Linked DNA regions of Mytilus edulis. The protein of the gene in region 2 interacts with the protein of the main gene of each other region in a pairwise test. Links are inferred from orthologs where the notes say so. Each region holds a gene or a part of one and is shown on either strand. Other genes may lie near its edges.

Region 1 (16,526 bases), on a different chromosome or scaffold from region 2:
AGTGATCATCTTATTAACAAGAGCTACCAAGGTATGCAGGAATGACTTGAAGCTTTTTGATTACTTTGGTACTAAGGAAAGTTTTACAACTTCAATGTATTGCATCTATAGTTATGGGAGGTATTTTAATGGAAGTTTACCTATTGGTAAAATGAAGAGCAGGCCAGGTTTGATGGTGTTATTGTTTATATTTTTTTTTATGTAAGGGAGATAATCCTAATCAATAGCTAAACGGTACTAAAGAAAATGTGAAAATTTGTATTGTCTCTACAATGAAGGGAGGAAATTAAAGCCTAGTTTACATTATGGTTAAAAGAAAGGTGGCCCAGGTTTGAAGTTGCCTTTAAAATGATGGGATGTAATTCAAGCCTAGTTTAGTGGTAATGAAGGATGACCTGGGTTTGATATTTTTGTTGTTGATATTTTTCTATAGATGATTTGTTAGATAAGTGTTATCTATAGCCACCTGGTACTAATGAAAATGCGAACAATTTGTATTGCCTCTAAAGTGATGGGACGTTATTTTGTTGTTTTTTTCTGCATGATTTGTACATGGAGATAGTCATTATGTCGAAAGTGAAGGGAGATAATTTCAGCCTAGTTTACCTGCTGGCAATGAAGGATGACCCAGGTTTGATGTTGATGCTGATGTTGTAGTTGTTGTTTTTGCTGCAGTTGATTCATCTTCTTCACTTTCTTCATCAGACGAGTAATCAGCCAAACTTAAAGCTGTTTTCTTTGATGTGTTATCATAAAAATTAGCTGGTAATCTTAAATATAAGTTAATCAAACATATTGTTTACGGCAAACTGGCATACAAAACATTATTGAGAAATATTTCTTAACTTTATCTTATAATATTTTATATGTCTGATTTAGGCAATTAAACTCATGGAAAAACTGCACAAATGGCCTCTAAGATAGACTTAAAGGTCAAGGACATTTTTGTAAGAAACAGACATGTGTAACAAATGTAAATTCTGCATTAAGTGTGAAGAGGAAGACCCTCATATTTCTTCATGGTCAAAATTCAAATTCATGGCTTTTATCATACAGCCTTCTCTAACGATTTTACTGAACTTTGTAATGTTATTGAACCTTCAATAATCTTGATCTTACTGAATAGAGTTTAGTGCATTTGCAGTATTTCTCCATCAACCTAAAATGTGTAAGCATTTATAACTAGAACTTAATCTTTCGACAAACTACCATACAGAAATCTTACCCAGCAGTCCCCCTCGTCTTTCCATTATCTGTAAAATTAAAATATAACATTTGACATATACAAGTTTTTGTTCAGAACAAAAGGTTGGTATATCTGACATCAATAACTTTAATTCTAATGCAACTATTCATGGTAATGCAAATGTGGATATGAGTAAAAGTAACTGGCAATAACATAATGCAATAACAGTCCATGTTACTTGCATATTCAACAGTTCAATTTTCAGTTTAGCACTAGAAAAGGAATAACAATGCAGTATTTTAAGAGTTGCCGTTATCAATTTTACTATTGACAGTCAGGGGGGGGGGGGGGGGGGTCCCAAATTTAAAGAAATTTAAATCCCGACATATCCAAATTAGAAAAAAGAATTCCCTAATCCAAAAAGGATCAATCCCAAAAAATCCCGAGCTTAAAAACACCCCATCCTGTAGTCCTCATAAAGATCCGAACCTCTCACAGTCACAAATATCTGTGTACTGGGTCCACTTTTAACCGCCTGTTAAACTTAAATTTAATAATTTTATGTAAAGATGTATGTTTTATTGATTCTCATGTTATAATGTCTTATATTTATTGATTGATAGAATGAGTGAATGAATAAAGATAGGAAGGAAAGAAGGAATAATGAATGAACAAACAAATGAACAAAGAACTGGAAAACGAAGGAAGGATTGAACAAACAAATGAAAATATAAATGAATTTACAACTTGACATATTGTGTGGACAACATGTTTCATATTGAAGACTGTGTGTTTAGATGTCATTTTGTTATTTGTGTATTGGACTGCTATACCCTAATGTGCCCCTACATATATCTTTGATTTTGGTAATAATTCAGAAAATATCTGCATACCTTTCTGTTTTTTGTTGTGACTGTCAGGTTCTGGGGGGAGTTTTCTTTTCTGTACTGCTGGACCAGGTGCTTTAACAAGTTCAACCGTCTGAAAACAATTCATTCATGATTATAATATTGACTTCATTAAAAATGAACGTCTTTGAAATGATCAGTAAATATTCAACCTTTACTAGAACTTGTCTAGAAGCAGTATTTTACTTCACTTTTGAATCTGTATAACTTGAAATCTTTACAAACATCTTGTCTGGTCTAAGTTCGTCTTACAGTAAATTTTTACACACAGAAATGTTCAAATAACTTTTATACAATGAATTGAAAAAAATCTATTCAAAATCAATTCTCAAAGAAAATTTGTGAAGAAATAAATATTATTAAAGTTCAGAGGCAATACCTAAAATGAACAGATCCCTCTGTGATCTTTGGTGGTTAACCGCCTTACTTACAACGACACATCACTTTTAATCAGTGTTCTCCCCAGAAATTTTGGATAGCATCACATTTGGCGTAAACAAAATAACTGTATTTTTTGCAATGTCATTTGTCGCATCGCGGCAATGCTCTTCTTTTATGTTATATATGTTTATATTATTGAATTCATTATTGAGAATACAATTAAACTATAACCATAAAAACAGTTGTTTCAGTTTATGTTTCCTTTATACATTTATAGTTACAGAATTATTTTTTTCCTCCTGTGCCAAATAAAAATATATGTGGTTTCAGTTAATCTACCTATATCCAACTACTAGTAAAATTAATGAATGGTTTATTATGCAACCTCTATATATACAAAACTAAATACCTAGTACAAAAAAGTATCATATATAGCAATAAAATTTCAATTTAAAACTTTTTTCTTTATCATGTCTTATGAAATTCATTGTTTCATGGTACTCAATGAATTTGTCCCAGTTGTTTCTAATCTTTACATCAAAATGACATGTATTTTAAACGAAGAAATCTAACAAATAGTCTGTTAATGCGTAGTTTCCTCTTTTGGTATATTTTTTCTGTCTACTGTGCCATTCGTTTATTTATAGTAATAATTGTGAAATGCGGATTTTTGTAGTTTCTGGTACAGCAATGCTAAAATAGCCTGGGGAGAACACTGTTTTAATTCATATATCTAAATCTTTTTTTTTGAGATTTAAACTTTACAAGTCTTGATCTCTTCATATGCCATTGTTAAACAAAAATTAATTATCAAAACTAGATAAAAAAAAAATCAATACGCGACCTTTGTTATAAATTTACATGTAGTATTTAGCTAAAACAAAATTGAATTCTAAATATTGTGAAAATTTTACCTCTTTGTGTTGACGACTTTGTAAATGGGGAACCCACAATGCATCAGACTTTATAACAATATTACACAAAGCACATGTTAATTGGTCCAAACTGTTATACCTAAAATGATAATGTTAGAACTAATTAGTTTTTCTGTGTACGTGAATGACAATTACAAAGAAGTGTTATTTTTTGGCCATATTCGTTCAAGTACAGAACTTATAATACTATGTCAAGAAGACATCCAGTCTTACACCTGTATATATCTTTTAAATCATGATATTATTCGTTAATTAATCACTGAATCTTCTATGATATTCGAGCTAGTTTTTTATATAACAGTAAAGCAGGTTATTTTCGTGGGGTGTACATTTTCGAGATAAAACAAAATACCAAAATAAATTCCACCAATTTTAGAGTGTACATGCAAAGGTTTTGAGAAAAGTTTTGAATCTGCCAAAATAATAACCACCAAAATATTTTGAATACCTTATTCAATGAAAATCACGAAAATTTACACCGGTGAAAATAACATGCTATATGGTAATACGCAGTGTCACATTGTTAAACCCAGTATGTCCCACTTGGCTGTGCAATACTAATCTTTGTACTGGACAACATATATATATCTGTATATAGACACTTTTGAAGGATATACACAAAAATTTAAGACTACAAGGGACACTTATTATTTTTCACTGCAGTGTACTAGCTAAAAATGTTTTATTTATTTTAATTTATGAATGTGACTGTTTTCTTATTAACATAATATATAATTTAGCAAACAGGCTATCACAGTAGAGCTTCTCTTGCTTTTGATACAAAACTCGACTATCACAGTAGAACTTCTCTCGCTTCACTCAACTATCACAGTAGAGCTTCTCTCGCTTCTATCTTTGAGAGAAGCCTTACTGTGATAGTAGAGTTTGGAATATTTTTACCCCGTTATTGATAGGATTTAAAACTACTGTGGACAAAACATGTCAAATGTTAAATTAATGGGTGCCACATGTGGAGCAGGATATGCTTACCCTTCCAAAGTACCTGAGATGGGTCTCACTAATTAGTGACAACAAGCGTCAAGAAGCGACAACAAGCGTCAACAAGAATTATTTTAGCGACAAGAAGCGACAAGAAGACTATTTAGCGACGAAAACATTTTTTTTTTTTAGATATAAAGAAATTTGTATTTAATTTTTTTTTTTAATATACGAGGAGATATGTCTAATTAAAATGTTTTATTATATAGAGGAAACATTTGTGAGGAAGAAAGAGATTGTGAAGTTTATATTAGTATATTGATAGATGAAGAAATTAAACATTTGTGAACATGGTGAAGAAGAAAGAGATTGAGCTTCTTATTTTAATTTTTAAATATGAAGAATGTGTATAAGATAATGTATGTATCTGTTTTCATCAAAGTCAAAGTATGAATAAACGAATGGAGATATATATGGAGCAGGCATAATGGAATATAATATTTTGATTCATTTGCTTAATACTATGCTCTAAGTGTACTCTTGTTATGTCAATTCGATGCTTTGTTTGTAGAACTCTCAGCCACACTTTGCCATCTTTATTATTTATAAAATATTATGTAAATAATGTTTCATTTTTTTCTATCAATTTTAACTTTCTTGTCGCTAAAATTATATTCTTTTGCATATTCTTTTAATATTTATTGCAATAATTAATTTTAATTAAAAAAAATAGTTTCTTGTCGCTAAAATAATTTTTGTTGTCGCTAAAATTCTTGTTGTTGCTAATTAGTGAGACCGCCTGAGATCACCCCTAGTTTTTGGTGGCAGGTGGGGTTTGTGTAGCTGCGGAACCGTAGCTCTTAGGTCCTTATGTTATTTTTTGACTATTTGCGGACCATAGAGCTACGGATTTTTCCTATTTCAAAACGTTCGGAATTGCGACCCAGGTTCAGGTCGCACTTATTTCCCCAAAAAATATTGTTTATAATCCATGCAAAGCTTGTCAATATATATAGTTCGTTTCGTTAGATATTTTTCTAGGATATGACGTACCTATTTATGTTTGAATATTCATTTCCTTAACACTATTATCTAATTATTTCCATTTGTATACATTCTCCGCCTATTTTGTTCGGCCATATTGAATCTCGTCGTGACGTCACGAAAATCAAGAAAAGATAACTCAAATATCCTCGATCTCCTATGTTGGAGGTAAGGAACGCCTACGAAAAACAAGAACAGATAACTCTTTTAGAAAAACACGTGTTGGTTTGTTTACTTATTTCTAAGCGAGAATCGAGTGTTTTTAAGACTTTACAACATTAGTTCATACGAATTTTTTTAATAACTTGAAAGAATTATTATTTCCGTTAGTATTTAACTTTAATAAAACTTACTTTCATTCAAAAAGTCATGAAAATAAAATAAAAGACAACGTAAACAACCCAACACGTGTTTTCCTATAAGAGTTATCTTTTCTTGATTTTCGTGACGTCACGACGAGATTCAATATGGCCGAATAAAATAGGCGGAGAATGTATACAAATGGAAATAATTAGATAATAGTGTTAAGGAAATGAATATTCAAACATAAATAGGTACGTCATATTCTAGAAAAATATCTAACGAAACGAACAATATTTATTGACAAGCTTTGCATGGATTATAAACAATATTTTTTGGGGAAATAAGTGCGACCTGAACCTGGGTCGCAATTCCGAACGTTTTGAAATAGGAAAAATCCGTAGCTCTATGGTCCGCAAATAGTCAAAAAATAACATAAGGACCTAAGAGCTACGGTTCCGCAGCTAGGGTTTGTGTTGCTTATTCTTTCGTTTTCTATGTTGTGTCATGTGTACTATTGTTTGTCTGTTCGTCTTTTTCATATTTAGCTATGGCGTTGTCAGTTTATTTTCGATTTATAAGTTTGACTGTCCTTTTGCTTTTGGTATCTTTCGTCCCTCTTTTAACAGTTTAAATTAAACTGTTTATCCTACATTCTTTCTTTTAACCACAAAGTTTTTAGCGCACAAAAACTGCCTTACTTTGCTAACGGGTGTTCAATCTTTTTAGACACTCTTTTAATGGAAAAGGTCTTTTCTTTCATCAATTTTCTTAAATCATCTTTTGAGACAATTTTTTGCTTCTTTTTAGTAGCCATTTTGATTTTTGTATGAATTGGTTTCGTATTTAAGAATATTTTATAGATAAAAGATAATTAAGATGATACAATTGAACTTACAAACTTTTAAAAAATCCTATATGATTAGGAAATATGAGTGTTGGTTATAAATCTGATGTTTACTGTGAGCAATATTGAAATCCGAAATTATTTGTTTAGGAACAGATTATCTCCCTTTATAGAGCACCTTGCACCAATTTCTTGTTTATAAAAGACTGTAATCGATTGCAAACCTCCAATGCGGGTGTCAAGATTTTTTAACTCGTATCCAGTGCAATCCAAAGAAAAAGGCATGATATAATAACGAAGTGCATTTACTTGTGTAAGAGTTATGTCCCTTTTCTGAATAATATTTTGATAAATTATACATAAATATGTAACACTGAGAAACATCGTCATGTCCATCCTGTCAAACCTGTCTGATTCCCGTAGACGTGTCAAACTATCCATATGACGTCGCTGAATTCAAAACATGTACAGTTTCAAACGGGCGCTGAAACGAAACATGTCAGTTTTATGAATGCACAAACGACGTTGAAACATGTCCATTCCCAAAACGTATCAATATCATGTTTTAAAGTTTCCTTTAATTATTATGAAGCTGAATCTTGTATTTTAAAATGTCCATTATTAATTAATTTAATTTTTCATCTTCATTGGCTTTAAGTAATAATTACATAGATATGAGAAGATTGGTACGAGTGCTTACAGTGGCGTAGCTGGGTCATTTTTACGTGTATGCCCAAACCTTGGTGAGGGATATGAGGGGTGCCAACTGCTCAATGTTAAAGTGTAACAAAAAATTTATTCCGGCGTGACATTTGTTCCACCGGAACAAATTTCATAGGAAATATGTTCCACCGGAACTTATGTCACAGAAAATATGTTCCAGCACTATAAAATTTGTTCTGGAACTAATTTTTTAACTAAGTGTGAAATAAGTTCCGGAACAAAAATCACAACACCATGAATTTTGTTCCAATATTAAAATTTAAAAAAAAGTGAAATAAGTTCTTGTGATATTAGTTTTAAACGAAGGTATTTTATAGAAATCAATGAAAATGTTCTGCTCGAACCTATTTCACAGAAAATAAGTTCTGTGCTTGCATGGGGTACATTTGCAATTGAAGGAATGACTTTAGGATAAAGATAAGAAATAAAAGCGATGATAATGTATCTATGTTTGATCGTTTATGTGGTATTCAACCTCCTTGTTTCCTGATGATCTGTCATTGGTGTTCTAATCATACATGTACTTAGCTATGGTCATTGCACAGTTTTTAAAGAGCGGTGTATTTTGTTTCTTTATGTCTTTTAATATAATTGATCAGCCACATTGTCCTTTTCAAAAAAGTACAAATATTCATCTTCAACTATAATATGAGGCAGGCATTACCTGTAAATGGGGACGAAGTCTGTATGAATTATTTTTTTGTAACTTAAAAATATTTGTTAAAAAAAAGAAACGGAAATACCGTAACGTTTCCGATTTTGGTTCTGTTGTTAGGGATTTTAGTTGTGACGTTATTTAAATTATGACGTCATGTGCAATGTAAACAAAAAAACGCTATCATCAGGTAACTTTTTTTTCATATCAAGGAATTATTAAAAATGAAATTGGTATTGCACGTTCCTTCCTATTTTATACTAGACTGATAAATATATATTTTACTCAAAGTTTCATACAAACGAGACCGGAAAAAGGAAGTACATTGTACATTTCTGCGCAGGTCTGGGATTTCAAAACACGACAAAAAAAATTTGAACTATTTTGAGTTCATTAGTATAATGAAAAGTCGGGAAATTTTCCCGAATTTTTTTTTTTTATTGAATTTTCTACTGTTATTGGGGACTTCGTCCCCATAATACTTTTTTTCGGAATGACTTTTATTATTATTTCTTATTCTACTCTTTCCTGGCTCATAAGCACCATTTTTAGTATTATTACTTGAGCATGTTATTAAACTTTTTCTTTACTCCACATGATCCGATTGGATGTTAACACTTTTTATACGACCGCAAAATTTGAAAATTTTTTCGTCGTATATTGCTATCACGTTGGCGTCGTCGTCGTCGTCGTCCGAATACTTTTAGTTTTCGCACTCTAACTTTAGTAAAAGTGAATGGAAATCTATGAAATATTAACACAAGGTTTATGACCACAAAAGGAAGGTTGGTATTGATTTTGGGAGTTTTGGTCCCAACATTTTAGGAATTAGGGGCCAAAAAGGGCCCAAATAAGCATTTTCTTGGTTTTCGCACTATAACTTTAGTTTAAGTAAATAGAAATCTATGAAATTTTGACACAAGGTTTATGACCACAAAAGAACGGTTGGGATTGATTTTGGGAGTTTTGGTTTCAACAGTTTAGGAATTAGGGGCCAAAAAAGGGCCCAAATAAGCATTATTCTTGGTTTTCGCACAATAACTTTAGTTTAAGTAAATAGAAATCAATGAAATTTAAACACAATGTTAATGACTACAAAAGGAAGGTTGGTATTGATTTTGGGAGTTTAGGTCCCAACAGTTTAGGAATTAGGGGCCAAAAAGGGACCCAAATAAGCATTTTTCTTGGTTTTCGCACCATAACGTTAGTATAAGTAAATAGAAATCTATGAAATTTAAACACAAGGTTTATGACCATAAAAGAAAGGTTGGTATTGATTTTGGGAGTTTTGGTCCCAACAGAATAAGGGGCCCAAAGGGTCCAAAATTAAACTTTGTTTGATTTCATCAAAATTGAATAATTGGGGTTCTTTGATATGCCGAATCTAACTGTCATGACTGTGTATGTAGATTCTTAACTTTTGGTCCCGTTTTCAAATTGGTCTACATTAAGGTCCAAAGGGTCCAAAATGAAACTTAGTTTGATTTTGACAAAAAATGAATCAGTTAGGTTCTTTGATATGCTGAATCTAAAAAAATGTACTTAGATTCTTGATTATTGGCCCAGTTTTCAAGTTGGTCCAAATCGGGGTCCAAAATTAAACTTTGTTTGATTTCATCAAAAATTGAATAAATGGGGTTCTTTGATATACCAAATCTAACTGTGTATGTAGATTCTTCATTTTTGGTCCTGTTTTCAAATTGGTCTACACTAAAGTCCAAAGGGTCCAAAATTAAACTTAGTCTGATTTTAACAAAAATTGAAATCTTGGGGTTCTTTGATATGCTGAATCCAAAAATGTACTTAGATTTTTTATTATGGGCCCAGTTTTCAAGCTGGTCCAAATCAGGATCTAAAATTATTATATTAAGTATTGTGCAATAGCAAGTCTTTTCAATTGCACAGTATTGCGCAATGGCAAGAAATATCTAATTGCACAATATTGTGAAATAGCATATTTTTTTTTAATTAGAGTTATCTTTCTTTGTCCAGAATAGTAAGCAAGAAATATCTAATTGCAAAATATTGTGCAATAGCAAGATTTTTTTTTAATTGGAGTTATCTTTCTTTGTCCAGAATCAACTTAAATCTTTGTTATATACAATATACAATGTATATTCACTTTTTACTACCAACTGATAAATTAAAATAATCTTTACCATTCAGTGATAACAAGCAGTTTTTTTACATCTTAATATTTTATGATGTATTTAAATGAGTAGTTATTGTTGCAAACTCCATTAGAAATTTTAATTGAGATTAGTTTTGGAATAAGGGAAAGGGGGATGTGATTAAAAAAATTGGGTTCAATTTTTCTCATTTGAAATTTCATAAATAAAAAAGAAAATTTCTTCAAACATTTTTTTGAGAGGATGAATATTCAACAGCATAGTGAATTGCTCTAAGAGAAAACAAAAATTTCAAGTTCATTAGAACACATTCATTCTGTGTCAGAAACCTATGCTGTGTCAACTATTTAATCACAATCCAAATTTAGAGCTGAATCCAGCTTGAATGTTGTGTCCATACTTGCCCCAACCGTTCAGGGTTCAACCTCTGCGGTCGTATAAAGCTACGCCCTGCGGAGCATCTGGTTATTTATTACATTATGCAATATAATACATGTTTTTTATAATGACTTTAAACTCACTGATGACAAGTGCTCAGTATATAAGAAAACTTGTTTAACCAGTGGAACATATTTCACAGACAAGGAACTTATTTCACCAGGTGAGGAACTAATTTCACAAATCCAGAACTTATTCCACCAGGTAAGGAACAACTCTCACAAACATGGAACTTATTTCACTAGGTAAGGAACAAATTTCACCAACCCAGAACTTATTTCACCAAGTAAAGTGTGGAACTTATTTCATAGAGATGGAACAAATTATATAGAATTGTCTGTGAAAAAAGTTCTCCCAGAACATATTTCCTGTGAAATAAGTTCCACTGGAACTTTTTTCACAGGAACAAATTTTGGCTCACAAAAGCACCTGCGGGTAGTGGGTTCGAAAGGGTCAAAGCCCCCAAAAGCTATCGAGAATGAGATACCACAATGATTCCTGTCAGTAAAAAATTATTGATAGCAACATACTTTTGAATCTGAATGGTTTATTTGTTTTGATTAAATTTTGTAATATGTTAACTTATTCATCGTGTTAAACTGGAAGCTAGCCAAATGATCATTGGATTTAGAGAAAACGTCCAAACCAATATTACTTTTAAATAAGTTTAAAGGGTGCCGTGAGTGAGCATACAATCGACAAAAGCACCCAAAAACACCCAAAAAATTATTTCTAAGAGGTGCATTATAAAAAAATTCACCTTGGATTTCTTCCCACATAAAGTGAATCAATTTATCATTCCTTTAAAGGGATTTAAAAAAAATCTAAAATTTTCTTTTGATATTTTTTTCTTGATCTGGAATATTTCACGACAATCTATGAAGGTATATAAATTGAGCATGTAAAACAATTAATTGCGTTAAGAAGAGTCCGGCTATCTGTCTATCAGAAAAGAACAGAAAAATGAACGAATACAAATGCTTTCAAAATTTTAGCTTTTGACATTAGTCATAGAAAAAGCTTCTGCTGCATTTTCATAAAATAGATGAAGGTTCGACAAGTCATGCAAGTAGTTAATGTAATTGAGAAATAACAAAATGTAAGCCCAAACTGCAACCACTTATCAGTTGCAGAAATAAATAAATTTTGTCCTTAAAATGCGGGAAAATTAAAGATATAATTGCATTATTATATTGCTCTGAATACTCTTTTGATCATAAACAGTTTCTGTTCAACTTTCGTAAAATTTCATGGAGAGTCATTCAAAGACTTTATTCACATTTGGAACCTAAATATTGACGCCGCTTTGTCTCAATTTTGGAACATAAATCACAGGCTCGACAAAAATACAAACAGCAGATAGTGAATTGATTTAAATTAATATATAAGAAAAGTACGTAGAATTTATAGTAGATTCAGACTTTTACAAAAGATTTGAATAAATATATTAAATTTATGATCTATTTGATTAAATTTAGTCCCTTTTATTCAAAATAACAATCCATTGAAAAAAGAAGCACAAGGCTGATGTGCTTTTGACCAGTTTTTCTTATTCTATGTCGATTATTTGTTTTATTTTCAAAATTCAAGTGTACGCCCGGGCGTTTTGACGTAAACGTAGCTACGCCCATGGCTTACGAGACAACTCTCCATCCAAGTCATAATTTGTAAATGTAAACCATTATAGGTCAAAGTGCAGTCTTCAACACAGAGTCTTGGCTGACACTGAACAGCAAGCCATAAATGACCCCAAAAATGAATAGTGTAAAACCATTCAAATGGGGAAACCAACGGTCTAATCTTTATATAAACACTGATGAACTACATAAACAAACGACAACTACTGCATGAACATCAAATTCCTGACTTAGGACATGTGCAAGACAACCAATATTGCGGCGGGTTTAAACGTTTTAATAGGTACCAACCTTCACCCTTATCTGAAACAAAATTGTAACTAAATCTGTATTTACATTAATAATTTTTCTATATATATATGTATTTTTATCAATTAAAAAAATCTTTATTTATTTTTTGGTACTACAAATAAAGTATATATAGCATTATTAAGATTATTTATATGAGTTAGAGAGATTTATTTATTCCTAACAAGGAACTTAGATACATGTAAATAATACATCTTAGGTGTATTTAAAGCCATAATAGGTTAGTCAGTGTTTTCCTTTAAATTTTACAAAGATATAACATGGGAGATAACCCTGCAACCATAAAAATCTGTAGATTTTCTGCAGTTGTTCTTTTATCAATTTTTATGATGTGCATGTTGTTGAGGATGTTTGGACTTAAGGTTATTAATTATTATGAAAAAGAATGTTTACAAGATTGATCCCTTTTAAAATTTTCATAACAAATCAGAGTTTCCAAAGATTTGAAATAAGATTGTTGCTCAGTAAATTTATATCCAATTAGCAATGTTGTATCCTTAACAGGCTGTCAAAGATTATTTGCATGATTGCTTGGTTCAAACTGGTTGAACAAATGAGATTTAAGTGTAATGCTTTAAATGAACCTGAAGTGGTAATTGTGCTGTAGGGTAAAAAAGAGTGCATACCACTGGGTATTCATTGTTGTCTTGAAATAAAAGTCCTGATGACGCCTATCTAACACTATTACTATGCAGTAAAAATATCTGATTGTTGTTGTCTTTTGTAACACTAATGAGATAAGTGATTAAAAATAGTTTTTAAGGGGGCCACTACCATATTAGAATCCAATCAGCCTCTACCTTTGATAAAACTACATGTTAGCCAAGTCTTTAAGTAGTAATACAGACAGTTTGGGATAATCTTACAATGCTAAATGTGATTTCCTACAGAAGTTGTTTGTCTGGTTATCCTGTTTTTGTTTTGTTTTAAAAGTGAAATTATAAACCTCTTATAGTAATTAGGCATTGTTTTTTTTTGTGACAAGCAATTTCTTACATTTGAAATGGTCTGTATGTGTCTGATGTGACTTTTAGAGAATGTTTTTGGGAAAATATCAATTTATAAATTTAATATTTTTTTTATGATTTCAGATTGTGAAGGATGGCAAGGTTAACAGGACAGTGGTTATCAAAGTTGATGTGTAGTAAATCAAATCTGTCTGTTTCATTCAACATATCATTACGATTTAAAACTACAAAAACTTACGATGTCAAAGAAATCATACAGCTTAATTATGATAATTATAATCTTTATGGTCCAAAACTTAATAGAAAGAGTAAGAAAAGTGAGGAAAAATCAGAATATCACACATCTAGTGAAGTAGAATCACATAAACAGAGTGAAAAATTGGTGAAACTGACTAAAAGTAAGGCTTCAAATAAACAGACTGTAACAGTGAAATCAGATAAAAACAGTGAAGTGTCAAATAAAAACAATGAAAAGAAAGGAAATAAACAAAGTAAAGTGCCATTCCAGAGGAAGATTGATCCTGCTATAGACTACATTCTTACCTATCCTATGGTCAGATCTGATACAGAGGTTGACAATTCTTTATTGGTACAATCAGCAGGACGATTAATTCCATCAGTGACACGTATAATTAGTGAGACAATGTCAGATTTGTCAAAGTTTTATTTGGAAAGGTGGAAGAAGAAAATGATCAGTGAATTAGGAGCAGAGGGTTTTAAAAAACTTCAAGAAGGTATTTATTATTTTTTATATGAATAGTGACAAAGATACCCTTTCCTCAAATGCAACATTCTTAAATGATTATTTAAAGCATTGTAGTTAACATGGTTTCAGAAATCACTATGCAATCATTAAAATGAATCTTAAAGAGCATGATTAACAGAAAAAAAAGGATAACAGATCTAGGTCTTTTAAATTCCAATTTGTAGAAGTCAAGAATTTTATTGTTACTTAAAAAGTTATTTCTTGCATAAAAAGTTATCATCATGACCATTAAATAAATTAAATGGGTGGAAATAAAAAAAGTTTTGAAAAAGGAAATGTGCCTGAAACAAAATAACAAACTACTTAAAACATTTACTAGTCATATAAGAAGATCCGAAAACCACAATTGACACCAAACATTTGAAAAAAAACTATTATGAAACCACAATATTTGAAACTACAGTAACCAGCATTGAGTCCAAATGTAATTACCATCACCAATAAAACATTACCATTATAATGAGACAAAATATTTGGCTAGAATTGGAATCAATAGTATTTATAAACCAAAAAATATATAAAGAGCATCAAAACAAATATTTTAATTGTAAAACTATAGGGTCATGCAACTTTGTCTTCAGGAGCTTGGTCTTCATTTGCTCAAGATGTTTATAAATTTCTTTCTACAGAGACTTTTAGAAATGGATCCAATCTTCATGCAAACATTCAACATTATTTATCTGGGATTCCTGAGACAGAGTTGGATATATATAAAGACAATATTGGACATTGGGATAGTATCAGGAAGGTATTACAGGAAGTGAAAGAAGCTGTTGCCATAGAAGAAGCAGTCAAGCATGAAGACCTTTGTTACCAGGGAAAATTTGATTGTTTAGCTGTATATAAGTAGGTTTAAAAGCACAGTGTCAGTGTCTTCCATTTAAAGTATTTTAGATTTTCATTTTCTTCAGTAAACCTAAACATTTAGAAATATTTTTCCACAAATCATTTTTCTTGTAACATTGAAATATATGATAACCCAAGCCTTTCCTTTTTGTTTTTTTGACTGATGTTCCCCTGTATGTAACAATAAGGAAGGAAAGCTTTCATTGCTGTTCTTACTTTTAAATTCACAGTGGAATTTTTAATATGAATTAAAAAATTAAAAACATTTGTAGATTTTTTTATACAAAACTATATCTTGAGTATTTGGGGAGTTTGTTAGACATAATATATATTACATGTGTTATACAGATAATACTCCATAATAAGAATATAAATTGATTGATTGATTGTTGTTTATACATGTCTAGTGGCAAATATTTCATTAATTATAAGGATGAAATAGAAACTGAATAAGCAGTTTCTAAAATTCATTTAATTGTACATCACAGCCTTCATGATAAACTTTTGAGTATATAACCCCGAAGCTCAGTTTTTTGAAAATTTTAGTTGGATTCTGTTGGGGCTGTAGGACTTGTGGTGAAGCATGAAGTGAGATATTTGTTTTATAAACTAATTAACCCAAAGGAAATTTAACTTTCACATACACAGTATTTTACTTGATTCTCAACACTTCATGATATGGATGAACTACAAAGATCAATATCTATGTGTTCTTGAAATCAAAGTTAAAATTAAAGTATATTTTACATTTTATAGAGACAGACTCTGTTTGGTGGATTGGAAGACCTCAAAGAAAACTAAACCAACAATTAAGGATACCTTTGACAATCCCATACAAGTAGCTGCCTACATAGGAGCCATTAATAATAGTCAGTTACTACAAGACAAACGGGTAAGTTATCTGTGGGGTACAACAAACCTAATACTGTGAAAGTACTTTTTTTCGTGGGGTACCAAATTTCGTGGTTTTTGTGGATGACTTTATCCATGGGTAATTTAGTGTTATCACTACGATTTACACGGGTCAATCTTTACTTCGTAATTTCCTTCATTCCAGACTATTTGTAATTTTCGTTTCTAAAGGCTTAAATTTTTCAATTTTTTTTTTTAGAAAACAAAAATCCACGAATTTAAAACCCCACGAACATGTAAATATTGCTCAAACCACGAAAATTGATACCCACGAATTAAAGTAATTTCACAGTACTGCAAATTTAGAAATTATTATGATTTTTCAAGAATGGACTACAATATGAGATCAAAAGTTGTGATTTTAGGAAAATCTGCATACAGATATATATGTAACAGATATCAGAATACAACTTCTTATCATTGCTATACTCATCCACATTATTCACAACAATAAAAAGCCTCACAATAATTTCTGAATTTACCATTATGAACAGTTAGATGGTTGTTTTGGTTACTGCAGTATTGTTGTGTCCACACCAACTGATTAAACCACCAAAGCTTATATGTAGATTTTTTGTTTTGTGAATAATTACAAGCACTGTG
Region 2 (16,076 bases):
AGGTCAAAGTACTTTTTTTTATATATATATGTAGAACTCAAATCTATGGCGGGTTCCAAATCTATGGCAGATTCCTAATCTTTGGCAAATGTGACGTTACAAACGTCAAACATATCACATCTATGGCAGATTTTTGTTTTCTCCAAATCTATGGCAGATCTTTTCATAACGTCACAATTGAATAACTCCATATAACATCGTCGCCGCCGATTACGATGGCAGAACCCATAGACTTAAACGTGACCATTCCAGATGAAGGTATTTCCCTCGACAAAACTTTGTGGATAAATTAAAAGAAGATGAGATCTTATCCGAAAGAGGGACACAATGTGACTGGCCTTAGTCATCGATTAATAAGGACACCGCTGTTTTGGGTACCGGATATTTTAGAAAAGAATTTATGATAGATATTTTACGGCTGGCAAAGTTTATAAAGTCAAAGATCAAATTACAAGATACCAATTTGATTTAAATTGTAATTAAGTAAAAAAAGGTATTAACAATGAAATAACATTATGTGAAAATTGAAACTGTTCATTTTTATTTGTCTTTTTTTGTTAGATAAGGGACTTACTAGTTGGTTAAGTGAATGGGCTAAACAGGTACCATGAACAGATTAAAAAAATGTTTCTTTTTACCGGGGGCATCATTTTAATCTTTAAGTCTGTATTAAGTTATATGAATTCATCATTTTCAAAATGTTTCGGATGACCATTATGGAATATTTATATAATTTCCGTTGATGTCCATAGATATAGGAAGATGTGGTATAAGTGCCAATGAGACAACTCCATACATCCACGTCAAAATTTATAAAGTAAACCATTATAGGTCAAGGTACGGCCTTAAGGTTAAGATTTTAACAGTCTGCAGTTAAAGTACTTAAAACAATTATTAGACTCATAAAGTAGGCGAGACACCGGGTTCTGTGGAACCCTTCAGACTTATTTATTTCTTTTACATAAAACAAACTGCCTAATTGTTTGTTAGGAGACTTACTAGTTGGTTAAATGAATGGGTTAAGCAATTTCATGCAGATTAAAAAATGTTTATTTCAATCTTGAAGTATGTATTAAGGTATATGAATTTGATCATTTACAAAATATGTTGGTTGCCATCATGATTTGGTTGACCATTATGGAATGTTTATAGACATGCTCTCGTGCATTTCTACTTGTTTAAGACAAGTCATTGGTCATATGTGTACTGCATTGTTTTTCATTTGCCTAAAATTTGCCATAGATTTGGAAACAACAAAAATCCGCCATAGATTAGGAGATTACAAAACTTGCCATAGATTAGGATTGTGAAAATCAGCCATAGATTTGGGATGGCAAGACGCCATATCTGCCATAGATTAGGAATCTGCCATAGATTTGAGTCCTACATATATATTTTATAAAACTGAAACTCTTTGACTACTTTGAACAGTGCAAATCAGTAACAGATTATAATAGTTAATACAAAAAAGATAAATAATAACTTTAATATACGTGACTACTACAGTTAATAAAAGCTCTTTTGTGACTCTTTCAACTGTAAATGACCTAACAACAACTTACCTGCAACAAATTATTCCAGATAGGCAAGGAAACCAATCTTTGTACTTGTTCTCTTATTAAATCCACTTCCTGATTAAATAAGAAATCATAGAATATATAATTGTTTTTCAGTTTCTAAATCCTGAAAATAGATTATTATATGATACTGTTTTCATGAGCCAAAATAACCTGTAAATTATAACATATCCATGACATAATTAAAGCATTAACTCTGAATTCTTACCAAAGTTTGAGACATGTTTATCTTATAACAAAATCGTGGAAAATCAATGTCAGATTCAACATTGGAATTTGGATCACTGATCTTGTCTTATTCGCTGAATTCTAGTATCTTCTGTCTTTTTGTGATTCATAATAAGAGGATAGAAGTCCTAGCATCAAAAAGACTGTATATATCAAATTGTTTACAGGGGACTCCTGTGAATAACATGGCAATGACAACTTATCCTACAAAATTCCACTGCCTCTTGTAAAGATAGATTGGGGAAAATGCCTTCAATATTTATTTGATTTCTTTAAATAATGATACAATGAAAGTTAAGTATCTGATGTCAGTTTCACAAAAAAAACTTAACATTAAGATTGATCATAAATTATTAATAAATCAGTATAGGTAAAATGTACCTTAAATATTAGTTGCATTTTTTTTTTGTGAAACCGGAACAGTACGACCAAAAACAAAGAAACTGGTAGTAATAAAATATTCATAACTTTCACTATTCTGCGTTATCTTACAAATAACAATAATATATAACATATAATTTGTCTAAACTTACCAGACTATTGAAACAGTGAATTAGGAAGAGGAGTAACAATGACTGTTCTCTGAAAGGCTTGCCTTCATGTAAACACGCCTGCAACATCTGATGGAAAAAATCAGCAAACTTCTCAGGTCTACGCTTGAATGTCTGGAAAAAAACCAACATTTAAATTAATTATATAATTTATCCTTTTTTTCACATAAGAGATGTTTGTAAGATTTGCTCAGAAAAATTGATATAATATAAACATAAAAATATCAGCTATAAATTTGCAGTGTGCATGCTTTCTGGTCAGGTTGTCAAACATGTTCACAAGAAGGAGTCTTTTCTATGCAAAAATACAGAATCATTTAATAATGTATGGCTCGTTATTTATATAGATTGGACACTAGTCATTTCGGGGCCCTTTATAGCTAGCTGTTTTTGATGTGAGCCACGGCTCTGTGTTGAAGGCTGTACTTTCATCTACTATATAATTGTTAACTTTTTATGCATTGTGAATTGGATGGAGAGTTGTCTCATCGGCACTCATACCACAACTTCTTATTTCCATGACATACAGCCATCACTGTCATATTTTAAATGTAATCTTATCAAAGCTCTTCCACATAACCTTACCTCCCATTGAGGAACTCTTTCTCTAAATTTCTCATTGACCATGGCAGCTATTGACAACTGATGAGCATAAGAACACTACAAACAAAAATAGATTTGATTTGATTTATGTTGTTTTAACACCACTTACAAGCACTGCATTCAGGCTATTTTGTGGCGGCCAGTTTTTATTGGTGGAGTAAGCCCCAGTGACTGGAGAAAACCACGACCATCGATAGGAAAATTAACAATCCTAGTCATTTAAGATTGGAGTTGAGTGCACCTGCACAAGCAGGGTTCAACTCACAAGCTCAGTGTTGACTGGCTAGTGATTACAGTAGTAACTACTTAGACCACAGTCACAGAGGAACCACAACTAAATGTAGAAATATAACATCATAAATGGCAGTTGTAAATGCAGTAGTTAAGATAAACAGTTGTCTTCTTAAATAAAATTTCTATTGTTTTTTAGTGTCTATGGGTTGTTGTCTCATTGGTGTATCTCTCACATTGCTTTTTATTATTAGTCAATTTGTGGATATAAGTTTAAATTCATTAGGGACAACAACAAAAATTAAAGGATGATTATCTTTCATTCATTCTTTGGTTCTGTCATTTAGATCAAACTGTAATAAATTGAAGAATAATTAGAACAAAGAAAGAAATATAAGTTTTACTACTATCTCTATATTCTTTACACATAAAAAATATTTAAAAAAAAATAATTTCAATATAATAACTGTTGATCCTTTTCCTTTTTTTGTTTTGTTTGGCAAACACAATTTTCTACAATTCCTGTTCAGGGCTGTTCCAGAAAATACTATGTCCCCCCCAGGGACGGCACTTTTTTTTAACCCCCACCACCCACAGAAATAAAATTTAATTAGAACAGCACTCCCTTTGCATTTTGGTATTTCAAATACAACCACCCACATAATATTTAAAAAAATTGCCTTCCCTGGGGGGGACATAGTATTTTCTGGAACAGCCCTCAATGGTTAGATGAAGAGTGCCTGACCTGCGCTCTGCTTATTTTTTGTTTCCTTTCACATTTGTAAAGTGTCAAAAATCACCTATAAGCCACTTTGAAATTACTTCATTTTTGTGTACTGTATTAATTTCAGAGTGTAGGACTTGTCATAAGGTAAGTTGTGGGTTTTGCTCACTGGTGAAGGCCATACAGTAACATATAGTTGTTAACGTCTATGTCATTGCCAATTATACTACATCTTCTTACTTTTATATAAAATTTGTACAGAAAATAACAACAAATAAGGATACAACTATTTTGAAAATTGATACTAAATTTTCTATTTTTTTCTTTTAAGACTTTAAATTATGAACTTAACAAGAATTGGTGAGGAATCGACAATAATACTAAGAAGCTTGACCACTCCTCAACAATAAATAACAACTATGTACCTGCGACTATTTGAAACCTTTAAAAAATTACCTTTTCTGAATCATAATTTGGCCATAAATAATTTTCTAGGTACTGACTGAAAGAAAAAGAAAGATATAATAATTTATAGCACAAGAATAATCAGACAATATCTTACAGCAATAAATATCAAAGAAATTTAAAATTATAGTGTTTTCCTGATCCTGCTAAAACATGTATATTTAACTTCACTGACTGACCTGCAGCAAGTTGAAAGTCATGTCTGTAATATGTGTAACTATTCTTATTCTTGCATTTACAGAAATAGACGCATGTTTTTTTTGCAGTCTATATTTTGGGAATGTAGATAATAAATTAGATATTGTACAATTACAAATGTATATCTTTGCTTCTTGATTTGCCTAAGTCTTTTTATTTTGTAGTACATGTACATTGTACTTAAACATTCTGGTCATCCAAAAATTATAGGTTGGCTTGAAAAAATGTTATATAATAAACATATGGTGTGGCCTGGTCACAAGAACATCTTCCTTAGTTGTTTGTTAGTTTGTAAAGGAACAGGTCATACAATGGGATTTTTATAGAAAACTCATCCACCATTGGTCATTATTGACTTTAGTGATACATCTGTATCAGGGGAGATAATTTGTTAAAACATTTATTGCAGACATGTATAATTGCGAAAATGGTAATACAATTGAAAGGAAACCATATAAATATAAGTAATACCTGAATTCTAACATCATGCTTCGTCTTGTTGAAAATCTAGAAAACAAATCATTTTAAAAATTATATAATCAGTCTTATATTGTAAAGCCACAGGTAAGTTGAACAGCCATATAAAGGAGCTCTTATTGTATTATTAGTAAGATGAAGTGAAGATATAAGAAAAAGAATGTAATTGTCATCCAACATAACAGTATTATTAGGGTCAGTGCATTTCAATTGTTTCTATTGTGCTTTTTTAAATAGTACCTTTTGTAAGGTAGATTCATGGTATACCGCCATCTTGGATTGAACAATCACAGTAAAAAATCGGTCTAGTTATTTGCCTAAATCTGCAAATTTGGAGACAGATTTGCAATTTAATGGTTAGACAGTTTAATAATATAAAGAAAACTTGGCAATTTATTGTATAATTCAAAATAATTAAACAAATATCATTTTATTTTGCTTTTTAAATCATTTTTTTCAACTGAGCCATTTAAGGGAAGATAACTCTTTTAGTAAAAAATTTATACTGGACAGATAGGGATTTTTTTTCTTTTTACTTGTAGCAAGAAAACAAGTTCGGTGACACCATTTTTTCTTCTTATTTTCTTAAAACATATTACAAAACCTATCTTTTCACAATTTATTTCAAAATTCTATCTCATAGATTATTTTTTATGCACACAATTGTGTTTTTCCATTAACAATCTAACCAAATTTAGGCAATTTTCAACGACTCATAGCTTGAAAAATAGCACGGTGACCCCTACTTTTTATTATATTTTTGAAAAGAGCATATTAAAATCTTCATTCTGGCTAAGTATAAGAAAATTCTGTCTCAAAAAAGATTTACTTATGATCTACCCTCAGCTGTAGTCTTTAGTTATTAATGTTATTTTTCCTTTGGTGGTGGATGCAGCATTTTATTGTATTTCTTTGTGGAAGACTCTGACAGAGTTAAAATGACTTTCAGATGTGTTTAGGTTTTTAATGCTAATGTTTGAAACTCTCATTAATTATGTTTTATATTATATATTCTACTTGGACAATAAGTTAATATATATCTAATTGATAATGGACATTTTATAATCAAAGTGACAATGATGCCTCAGGGCTTAATCCTTTATCCTTCTTAAATTAGAGACATTGCTAAAAGAGTTGTTTTAATTATTTATCTTTCTTTATCTGGATAATAACTTGTTTATATTTGTCAACACATTATGTAATAATTGATCTTAGCTAATTGTTTAATTCTCATATATATATATTGTAAAATGATTGTAAAAGACATAAGTTTAGAAGTCACAGGCTTGGTGACAAGTTCCAGTCTTGGAAATAAATAATATACTAAGTGGAATTCATCTTCTGTGTATAACTGCTAGTTTATGGTGCATGGTTATTTAGGTTTAACATTTAGTTGTGACCGAATCCTCATATCAGTCTCCCAGATATTAGACTGAGGATTTCTTGGTTACAAGACTATGTTGACCTCTGTGTAGTGTATTACCTACCCAGTATTGACCAGTTCTGTTCTATAAATGTCTTCAACCAACTACAAATATAGAGAAACAAATTTTACTCACATGAAATACAGATAATTACAGATAATGTTTATTATCAATACAAACTCAAATAAAAAAAATGTGAATTAAAGAACTTTATAGGTTTATCTAACAATATCTACAGTATAAATCAAAATTTTGTTACAACAAGAAAACACTCATAGTTTTTACTAATAACAAGAAAACACACTTAGTTTTTACTAATACTTTTTTCAAAACTTTATTGGTTATAAACTGACAACTTGAATTATCTGATAAATAAATACTGAAGTGAAAAATAGAGAAAATATGCCTTTTGTTCTTTTTTTTTAAAAAGATTACTAATTTTCAATAATTTAAAAAATAAAGTTGCATTCAAATATGACCTACAAGTTTTAGAAAATGATTTCAAAAACATTATATTCATTTACTGGTAGATATAGAAATACCTGTGGTTTAAACTTTGCCCCATTCTTCAAAGCTTCCTGTGACCAATGTAGTCCTGCCAACTGTAGTAGATATTAATAAGATATTATGAACAATTTATTGATACAAAACACTCTATAACTGAATATTTCAATAAAAAAAAAGGATTCCTAGATAATAAAAAATGTAACATCTTTTGACTTTAAACCAAGTTATTTGCATGCATACTTTATTTTGCATTTAGGTCTTTCTAACTAACTTTGCAGTAGTTTATTTTCATGATCTTCTTATTTTCTAACATTAAAATATAAGAAGATGTGGTATGAGTGCTAATAAGAAAAATCTCCATGCAAGTCACAATTTGTAAACTTAAACCATTAAAGGTCAAAGTACAGCCTTCAATATGGAACTGGGCTCACACCAAACAGCATGGTTTATTAATGGGAAGATCCAAGTCTCACACATTTGTGATCATTGAAAATTGAGATGTTTTGCTAAAAAATGTACTCTCGAAAATACTTTGTTTGCCAAAATTAGTTGGTTTACAGTTGAAAGCAAACGCTAGTACCACTCGTGAATATCAAATTTCACATGTTTTAATATCATATAAATGGGCCTTCGTACCTAAGATAAAACACTATACATGTACCTGTGTGATATTGTCTTCTTGAATCTGATCAACAGTAAGTGGTCTTGCTTTCTTTGTTTCTGCCATTATCTATGTTTTTCTTTAATCTACACCAATAACATTTTTTTCTAGTACTGTATCTGGATAATATATTATATCTATAAACTTGATATTTTGTCTTTCATGAAGTGATGAATCTTGGAAAATCAGGTAAACAATTTTAAAAGGTAACATAAATGTACCTCAAATGGAATCATATGATTGATAGCCAGTAATGAAGATTTCTTGCCAAAATTGGGTCTCAATGTGCTGCTAAATATTTTCTCAAAAGTCCAGACGGAAAAAAAGGCTTCAGCATTATGATGTAGTGACTTGTTAAAAAAATAAAATAGCCTTTCATTATTGTAAGCACTCAAGAAATTATAACCCATTTGGTAGATTAAGATAACCCCATGATTAATTGAGGGGGTAGGAGGGGTCCTGATCATGAAATCCCGGGCTTAAAAACAGGAAATCCTGAGGTCCCAAATTTAAATAAATGTAAATCCCCCATACCGAAATTCGAAAAAAAGAATTTCTGGATCCCGAAATCTCGAGCTTAAAAACACCCCATCCTGAAATCCTGATAAAGGTCCAATCCCTCCTCATTAATGTTTATTCCAGTGAATCCTTACCTGTTTTTTCAACTTGAAACAAATGGTCCAATATTAACATTTTTAGTAGGTATATAACTCGTTTGTGTGTGATATAATCTTCTGACATTTGTGCACTTAGTTGCTTACGGTTCGTTTACTTATCTGAAGTACACTAAAAAAAGTTAGTACTTGAACTCAGATAGCGGAGAAGTATGGATCAAATGTACAGGTTGGTTTAGAGTTTTATGTACAATCGAGGTGATTGAGAACAAAAATTATTTCCTGTATAAATCTAACATAACTTACATTCGCTCTGAAATCAGTTTAATAAGTATGCAAAAACAAAACGATTCAAAATCGTCGCTCACACATGCAGCGGAAGTTGTGAAGACGTAGTTAATATCAAAAACAATACACGGACATGAAATGTATACTTCCGGGCACATTAGTAGCACTCGAGTTCGCCGTTGTTTTTTTTCGTGTTTTTGTCAATATCGACTCAGTTTTTAAAGGTACTAGTAGGGTTTTTTCCCGAAAAGGAAAATACAGCATATTTTTGGGATGAAATCAAGTTAAAAAAACAAAACAAAACTGGCAAGCCCGGTCAAGTTATACCAAATTTAGAGCTGGTAGCGCGAATCATTGGCAGATGTTGATTCATGAAAAAGCATATGTGTCCCTCGTCAGACCAACATTTGAATATGCTAGTTCAGAATCGGACCCGTACCAACAAAATGACATTTATAGATTGGAAATGGTTCAAATAAGGGCAGCAAGGTATGTTACTAACAGATACCACAACACTTCATCTGCGGTTAGTGACATGCTTGAACATCTAAATGATGGACTACCCTACAAGAACGATGAAAACAGAGCAGACTGATAATGATGTATAAGCTTAATAACAACTATGTAAAGATTGATACATCAAATAAACTGATACCAAATGAACGTCCTTCCAGGAATAACAACGAAAAAGCATTCAGAATTCCATCCTGCAAAACAACAATTCGGAAGGAGTGAGTCGTTCTATCCTAGAACAATAAGAGAGTGGAACACCTTGCCCAACTGTAAGGTCACCGCCTCGAGTCCTGAATCTTTCAAGGCTCAGCTCCGTCAGTAAAAGTGACATGTCAAGTTTTATTTTGCACCTGTATATAAATTCCACGTAGTTTTTGTTGAATTAAAAATTTTAATCATGCACGCACTCCGTAAATGTGGCAGGATAGTCAACCAGTTGACGGTGGCCGCTTACTGAAAGAAGAAGAATAAGATCTTTTAGAGTACATACAATCTATAACTATTTTATCTTGACTTTTCTACACTTTACACAAGTATTCCCATTCCAAACTAAAAGACAAAATTACTAAGATGTTGCAAATCTTGTTGATTGTGAGCATAATTTTTACGTTTGGAGGACGCGTTTTTCATCAAACAATCGGCAATCTCATGGAAACCAATTGTGCTCCTCTTCTTGTCGTCATGTTACTTAATTCATATGAGACTGACTACATACAGGAACTTCATGGGAAGAAAAAAATGTAGTTAGTAGCATCCTTTAGTTCACTTTCCCATATCCAAGTAAGTAAGAAATCAAGTGACTTTGGTGACGTAGGAGAGCCGCCGTTTTGGGGTATATTTCCCAATATATAATGCATTTGTGCTTCAAGTTCAATTTTCTCATTAATCCTTTCAATTTTATTTGCACATAATTCTACCAAACAATATTGGTTCTGACTGTTTAATTATTGATGGACATTCGTGAAAATTGTCTTTTCATCAAATTTCGCAAGACAACCACTTGCCCACAGTTTGGTGGTTTGGGACAGGCACATACATTAATTGGCGCTGCTAAACACGTTTTTCAAGCACTCTATCCTCCAGAAACCAGAATATGACACGGCTTGACAGGTTTCCACTTGTATTTTTGTCCATCTGATGAGTTAAGCCTTTTTCGACTGATTTTTATAGTTCGTTCTTAGGGTTGGGATCCCGCTCACATGTTTAACCCCGCCACATTATTTATGTATGTGCCTGTCCCAAGTCAGGAGCAAGCTGCCTGTAATTCAGTGGTTGTCGTTTGTTTATGTGTTACATATTTGTTTTTCGATCTTTCATTTTTTTATATAAATAAGGCCGTTAGTTTTCTCGTTTGAATTGTTTTACATTGTCTTATCGGGGCCTTTTATAGCTGACTATGCGGTATGGGCTTTGCTCATTGTTGAAGGGCGTACGGTGACTTATAGTTGTTAATGTCTGTGTCATTTTGGTCTCTTGTGGACAGTTGTCTCATTGGCAATCATACTACATCTTCTTTTTTTTTATATTGTGGTGCCAGAGTAATAACAACACAATATCAGTATGAACACACTGTCAAAATTCGTTCGAAAATGTGACTCATCAGGTCGATACTAACAGTATTATTATAAACAAATAAGACAAAACACAATAATTACAGAAAGATTAAGAAGTACTCGCTGGTTTAAGGTACAAGTTTAACATATAAATAAACCATGTTCCTCAAGACTGAATTAATATCATATAAAAAGGAGATGTGGTATGATTGCCATGAGACAACTATCCACAAAAGACCAAAATGACACAGACATTTACAACTATAGGTCACCGTACGGCCTTCAACAATGAGCAAAGCCCATACCGTGTAGTCGGCTATAAAAGGCCTCGATAAGACAATGTAAAACAATTCAAACGAGAAAACTAACGGCCTTTTTTATTAAAAAAAATGAACGAAAAACAAATATGTAACACATAAACAAACGACCACTGAATTACAGGCTCCTGACTTGGGACAGGCACATACATAAATAAGGTGGCGGGGTTAAACATGTTAGCGGGATCCCAACCCTCCCCCTAACCTGGGACAGTGGTATAACAGTACAACATAAGAACGAACTACAAGTACATCCCGACACAAAAAGACGCAATGAACAGATCTGAGAGTACTCGCAGTTATTTGACAGCTAGTTCAAAGCCACTAACAACTAATAAAAAAAATGATGCATCTAAGACTAAACTATCAATCCGTACACATCCAACATCCAATGGATTTAGTGTAAAGACGTCATAAACAGCCAGATAAAAACATGACCTTGTGCACTGTCAATTCTTTGAGACGGGCTTGTATACATCTTACAATTCTTCGAAACATCGAGTATAGTATACCAGTTACTTTTAATGAAACGGACCAAGTTACGAAAGTTAAACGTTGATCAATGAAAATGCAAAAAATGAAGTCAATAGTTATAAGACTGTATATCTGAAGAAACTGATCAGTAAATTATTTCCTTTAATAAGCTAAACAAAAATCACACTTCATTTATATTACAAAAAATAAGAATATTGACATTTTAAGCAATAATCTTGAAACCCATACAAGGTAACAATTACAACATTTCTTAAGGAAAAAAGACTTTACACAGAAACAAATGTATCACCCCACGGCCGATAAACTTATTTCCTATATCAAAATCTGACAACTAATAAGAGTATTATTTTCAGATTTTGCTGATGTTAACCTTTAGAGAGAGAAAAAAACCAAAGACAAACAACAACAAAAACAACACAATAACCAACAATAACTATAAAACAATAAAACAACAACCAACAAACAAGAAACATGACCACAAGGTCAAGGTCAGATAAATCCTGTCGGACAGACAATTACACATTACAATTATGTCATGCAGCACATATAATTGACCTATTGCTTATCATAATTGAAAAAGACCAAAACACAAAAACTAAACATTTTCCAATGAACTAGCATAATGAAAATTAAGTCAGCTGTCAGACTATACCCCTGACAGACATGTACACCTTACAATCGTTCCATACAACCACTATAGTTGATCTATTGCTTATAGATTTGAAAAAAAACCCAACCCAAATCAAATCACATAAACTGTACATTGACCAATGAACCAAGGTCTGAGTGATACCTACAAGACAGACACGTAACACCTAACAATCATTCCATACACCAAATACATTTGAGCTATTGCTTATAGATCAAAACATACAAATTTAACATTTTTTAACCAATGAACCATGAAAATGAGGTCAAGGTCACACTTACATGTTCCCCTTACAGCCAATTCATACAGCAAATATCGTTGATTACTGCTTATAATATGTGTAAAAATGACGTAATCACGTAACTTTAACCTTAATCATTGATCCTTGAAATGAGGTTCAGCCTCAGGTAAACCCGGTTTAATTATACATCGCCAAATTGCAGAGGTCATCAAGGGACGGTCATTCAGAACCAGCAACATATATTATAAGAAGATTATCCACAATAGTGATTCTCCTCATGACGAATGCACAACATGAATTAGTTTTATTGCTATTGTAACAAGATTCAACACGGGACGCCAATCTAATTAAAATATTGATCTCTGATTACGTTATACTACATATGTAGTATAACGTAATCAGAGATCAATATTTTAATTAGATTGCACGGGACGCCTCTCTAGAAATCAACTAGATATCATTGAGATGGGAGCCATCTCTGTGGGCCCCGCTGTGAATAATCTGCATTAAAAAATTGTATCTTTACCATAGGACATGGGTTTGTCAACTGAAATCAAAGTTTTTGACCTTGACCTTTGACCTAGGAAGTTGTAAATAAATTATGACACACCCGTTGGTGTTGGTTTATAAACATGTCAAGTATAAACTTTGAAATGATAACGGTTCTCAAGATATAATAGAGCGGACACGATCTTTACCATAGGACATGGGGTTGTCAACTGAAACCAAAGTTTTTGACCTTGACCTTTGACCTAGGAAGTTGCACATAAATTATGACACACCCTTTGGTGTTGGTTTATATACATGTCAAGTATAAACTTTGAAATGATAACGGTTCTCAAGATATAGAGAGGACACGATCTTTACCATAGGACATGGGGTTGTCAACTGAAACCAAAGTTTTTGACCATGACCTTTGACCTAGGAAGTTGTACATAAATTATGACATACCCTCTGATATTGGTTTATATACATTTCAGGTATAAACTTTAAAATGATAACGGTTCTCAAGATATAGAGCGGACACAATCTTTACCATAGGACATGAGGTTGTCAACTGAAACCAAAGTTTTTGAACTTGAACTTTGCCCTAGGCAGTCGTTCATAAATTATGACACACCCTCTGGTGTTGGTTCATATACACGTCAAGTATAAACTTTGAAATCATAACGGTTCTTAAGATATAGAGCGGACATGATCTTCACCACAGGACACAGGGTTGTCAACTGAAACCAAAGTTTTTTTACCTTGACCTTTGACCTAGGAAGTTGTACATACATCATGACACGCCCTCTGGTGGTGGTTAATAAACACGTAAAGTATAAAGTATGAAATCATAATGGTTCTCTAGATATGGAGCGGACACAAAGATAAAGTGTTACGGACGGACGGACGGACGGATGGACGGACGGATGGATGGACGGACGGACGATCTCCACCACAGGACACAGGGTTGTCAACTGAAACCAAAGTTTTTTTACCTTGACCTTTGACCTAGGAAGTTGTACATACATCATGACATGCCCTCTGGTGGTGGTTAATAAACATGTAAAGTATAAAGTATGAAATCATAATGGTTCTCTAGATATGGAGCGGACACAAAGTTAAAGTGTTACGGACGGACGGACGGACGGACGGACGGACAGACTGATCACTATAGGGCGACCCGCCTAAAGGCGGGGCCCTAATAATTAAGCGACAATTATCAAATTCAAGTGATAAACAATGTACGATTCCCTCGTGTCTTAACCAACAGAGCTATCGGGTTAAATAATAGCTATACTTCAACTTATTCATAAATGTACCACTAAATTTATTGATTAGCTGGAAGAGACACCATGCAGGGAACGGCTCTAAAAAAAAAAGTGTGAATATGATTCTTCCCCTGTCCAAACCTGACAGGTAAGCAGTGGAAAGATATAAAAATATGATTTTATGTGTGTCACCCTCTCAATTTGCTCTCTTCCTTAGAATAAACACACTGTATTTTATAGGCCTATTGTTAGTCGTTACTGTGTGTGGTTTTCTTGTAAAAAGGGGGTCTTCGTCATTACTTCAACTTTGGTCAATATGATCATAGCTTTGTTCATTGTTGAAGGCCGTACGGTGACCTATAGTTGTTAATTACTGTGTCATTTTGGTCTTTTGTGGGGAGTTGTCTCATTGGCAATCATACCACATCTTCTTTTTTAAATATAGCCGTATAACGAACACGTTTAATTAATAAAATGCTACGTCTGAATTTAAATCTACGATGGTGGGACATATATCAAATAACTTGCATTTTACGCCTTTTTGACTTTTACGTGTACTAAGTTTTATATCCGATTTCAAATCTCAGAAATGTATATATCTGATTTCGCTGTCCACATATGAGATATTTACAAACTGTCATATTTTTTAACCTAATGACTAACACGGTTGCAGTCCTTAGAAAAACATATTTGGTCGATTGATGTTTGCTGATTGGCTTGTTGGATAGATACAGATATTTTATCTTGTTACAGGTCATCGCCGGACTCCTGAGAGAGTTATTGAAAGGGTTCGTGACGTTAACTCTAGTCTAAATTCAACAACAAAAAAGATTCGGTCAGATAAATTAGTTACATAGCGTGCTTCGCTCTCACCCCATATGGAATTTACTTACCCTGTATATATCGTATTAGGTCACTAACACACTATGTAACTAGTAATACCGTACAACCAAGCATAATACTGAGATACATTGTTTCGGCATCCTCATAATACGAGTGCGTCACCGTGAATTGGGTTACTGGATATGCATTTTAATAATATGCAGTTTACTTGACCCTTAATTCAAGTGTCCGGCAGTCATATAAAAAGATGAAAAGATATGCGGCAAGGAGAGAAGTTTTAGTCTTTTATCTTTTACTTGTTTTTGTGTGTGTTTCGTGTCGATCTGGTGTCTATAAAAATCTTTGAAGTTCGAACGGACTTTATACAGTTTTTTCATATGCTGTGCTATTATATCTCATGTAAGATGAGGGTTGAGAACTCGCACACATGTCCAACCCTGCCACCATTATTCTGTATGTCGTCTAGAGACTAGAGTCTGTAACTCATTGGTTGTCGTTACTTGCTGTTTGACTTACTAGTATTTGATTTTCGTTGTTTTAAGCCTAGATTATGCAGTTGGATTTCTCTTTTCTATTGTTTTACATCCTGTTCTATCAAATACAATTTAGAATATAGCATGACATGCTTACGAATATTGAGCATAATGAAATCAGAGAACCATTTTTTTGTAACTAGGTTGACCTTCTGTCGTGCCAATGCCGTGTATATAGCTTGGTTTAGATAAGAGGTTTATCATTGTTGAAGACTGTGCGGTGTCCTTTTGGCGTTCGTCGTCATTTTTTCTCTAGTGGATACTTGTTTGATGCTAAGCGAGCCAACAGTTCAATGTTCTGTTCCATAACGGATTGTCTTATAACATATAAAAAAACCTTTTGTTTATGTGTTACATATGTTTTTCGTTCATTTTTTTTTACATAAACAAGGCCGTTAGTTTTCTCGTTTGAATTATTTTACATTGTCTTATCGGGGCCTTTTATAGCTGACTATGCGGTATGGGCTTTGCTCTGACATTGTTGAAGGCCGTACGGTGACCTATAATTGTTAATGTCTGTGTCATTTTGGTCTTTTGTGGATAGTTGTCTCATTGGCAATCATACCACATCTTCTTTTTTATATTCCATCAAATACCAATATGACGTAGAAGTAATCAACTATAGGTAGC

What was found.
Region 1: the proteins of RNA helicase aquarius-like (region 2) and zinc finger protein 830-like interact in a two-hybrid assay, tested with the Homo sapiens proteins (2 studies listed by BioGRID and IntAct, with this or other methods). The link is inferred for Mytilus edulis from reciprocal best matches to the Homo sapiens genes AQR and ZNF830.

Annotation. Positions count from the first base shown.
Region 1 is NC_092346.1:5,108,248-5,124,773, reverse strand, and holds the start of zinc finger protein 830-like, read right to left. Parts: upstream 6,532-16,526; 5' UTR 6,511-6,531; coding exon 6,395-6,510; intron 3,490-6,394; coding exon 3,390-3,489; intron 2,168-3,389; coding exon 2,080-2,167; intron 1,254-2,079; coding exon 1,226-1,253; intron 771-1,225; coding exon 607-770; intron 1-606. Other genes in the region: mitochondrial genome maintenance exonuclease 1-like, read left to right, coding at 13,533-14,133, 14,795-15,011, 15,768-15,903.
Region 2 is NC_092352.1:28,520,364-28,536,439, forward strand, and holds the start of RNA helicase aquarius-like, read right to left. Parts: upstream 8,673-16,076; 5' UTR 8,567-8,672; intron 7,766-8,566; exon of another isoform or gene 7,760-7,765; 5' UTR 7,713-7,759; coding exon 7,647-7,712; intron 7,081-7,646; coding exon 7,021-7,080; intron 6,583-7,020; coding exon 6,542-6,582; intron 5,085-6,541; coding exon 5,049-5,084; intron 4,417-5,048; coding exon 4,371-4,416; intron 3,017-4,370; coding exon 2,942-3,016; intron 2,471-2,941; coding exon 2,339-2,470; intron 1,632-2,338; coding exon 1,563-1,631; intron 1-1,562.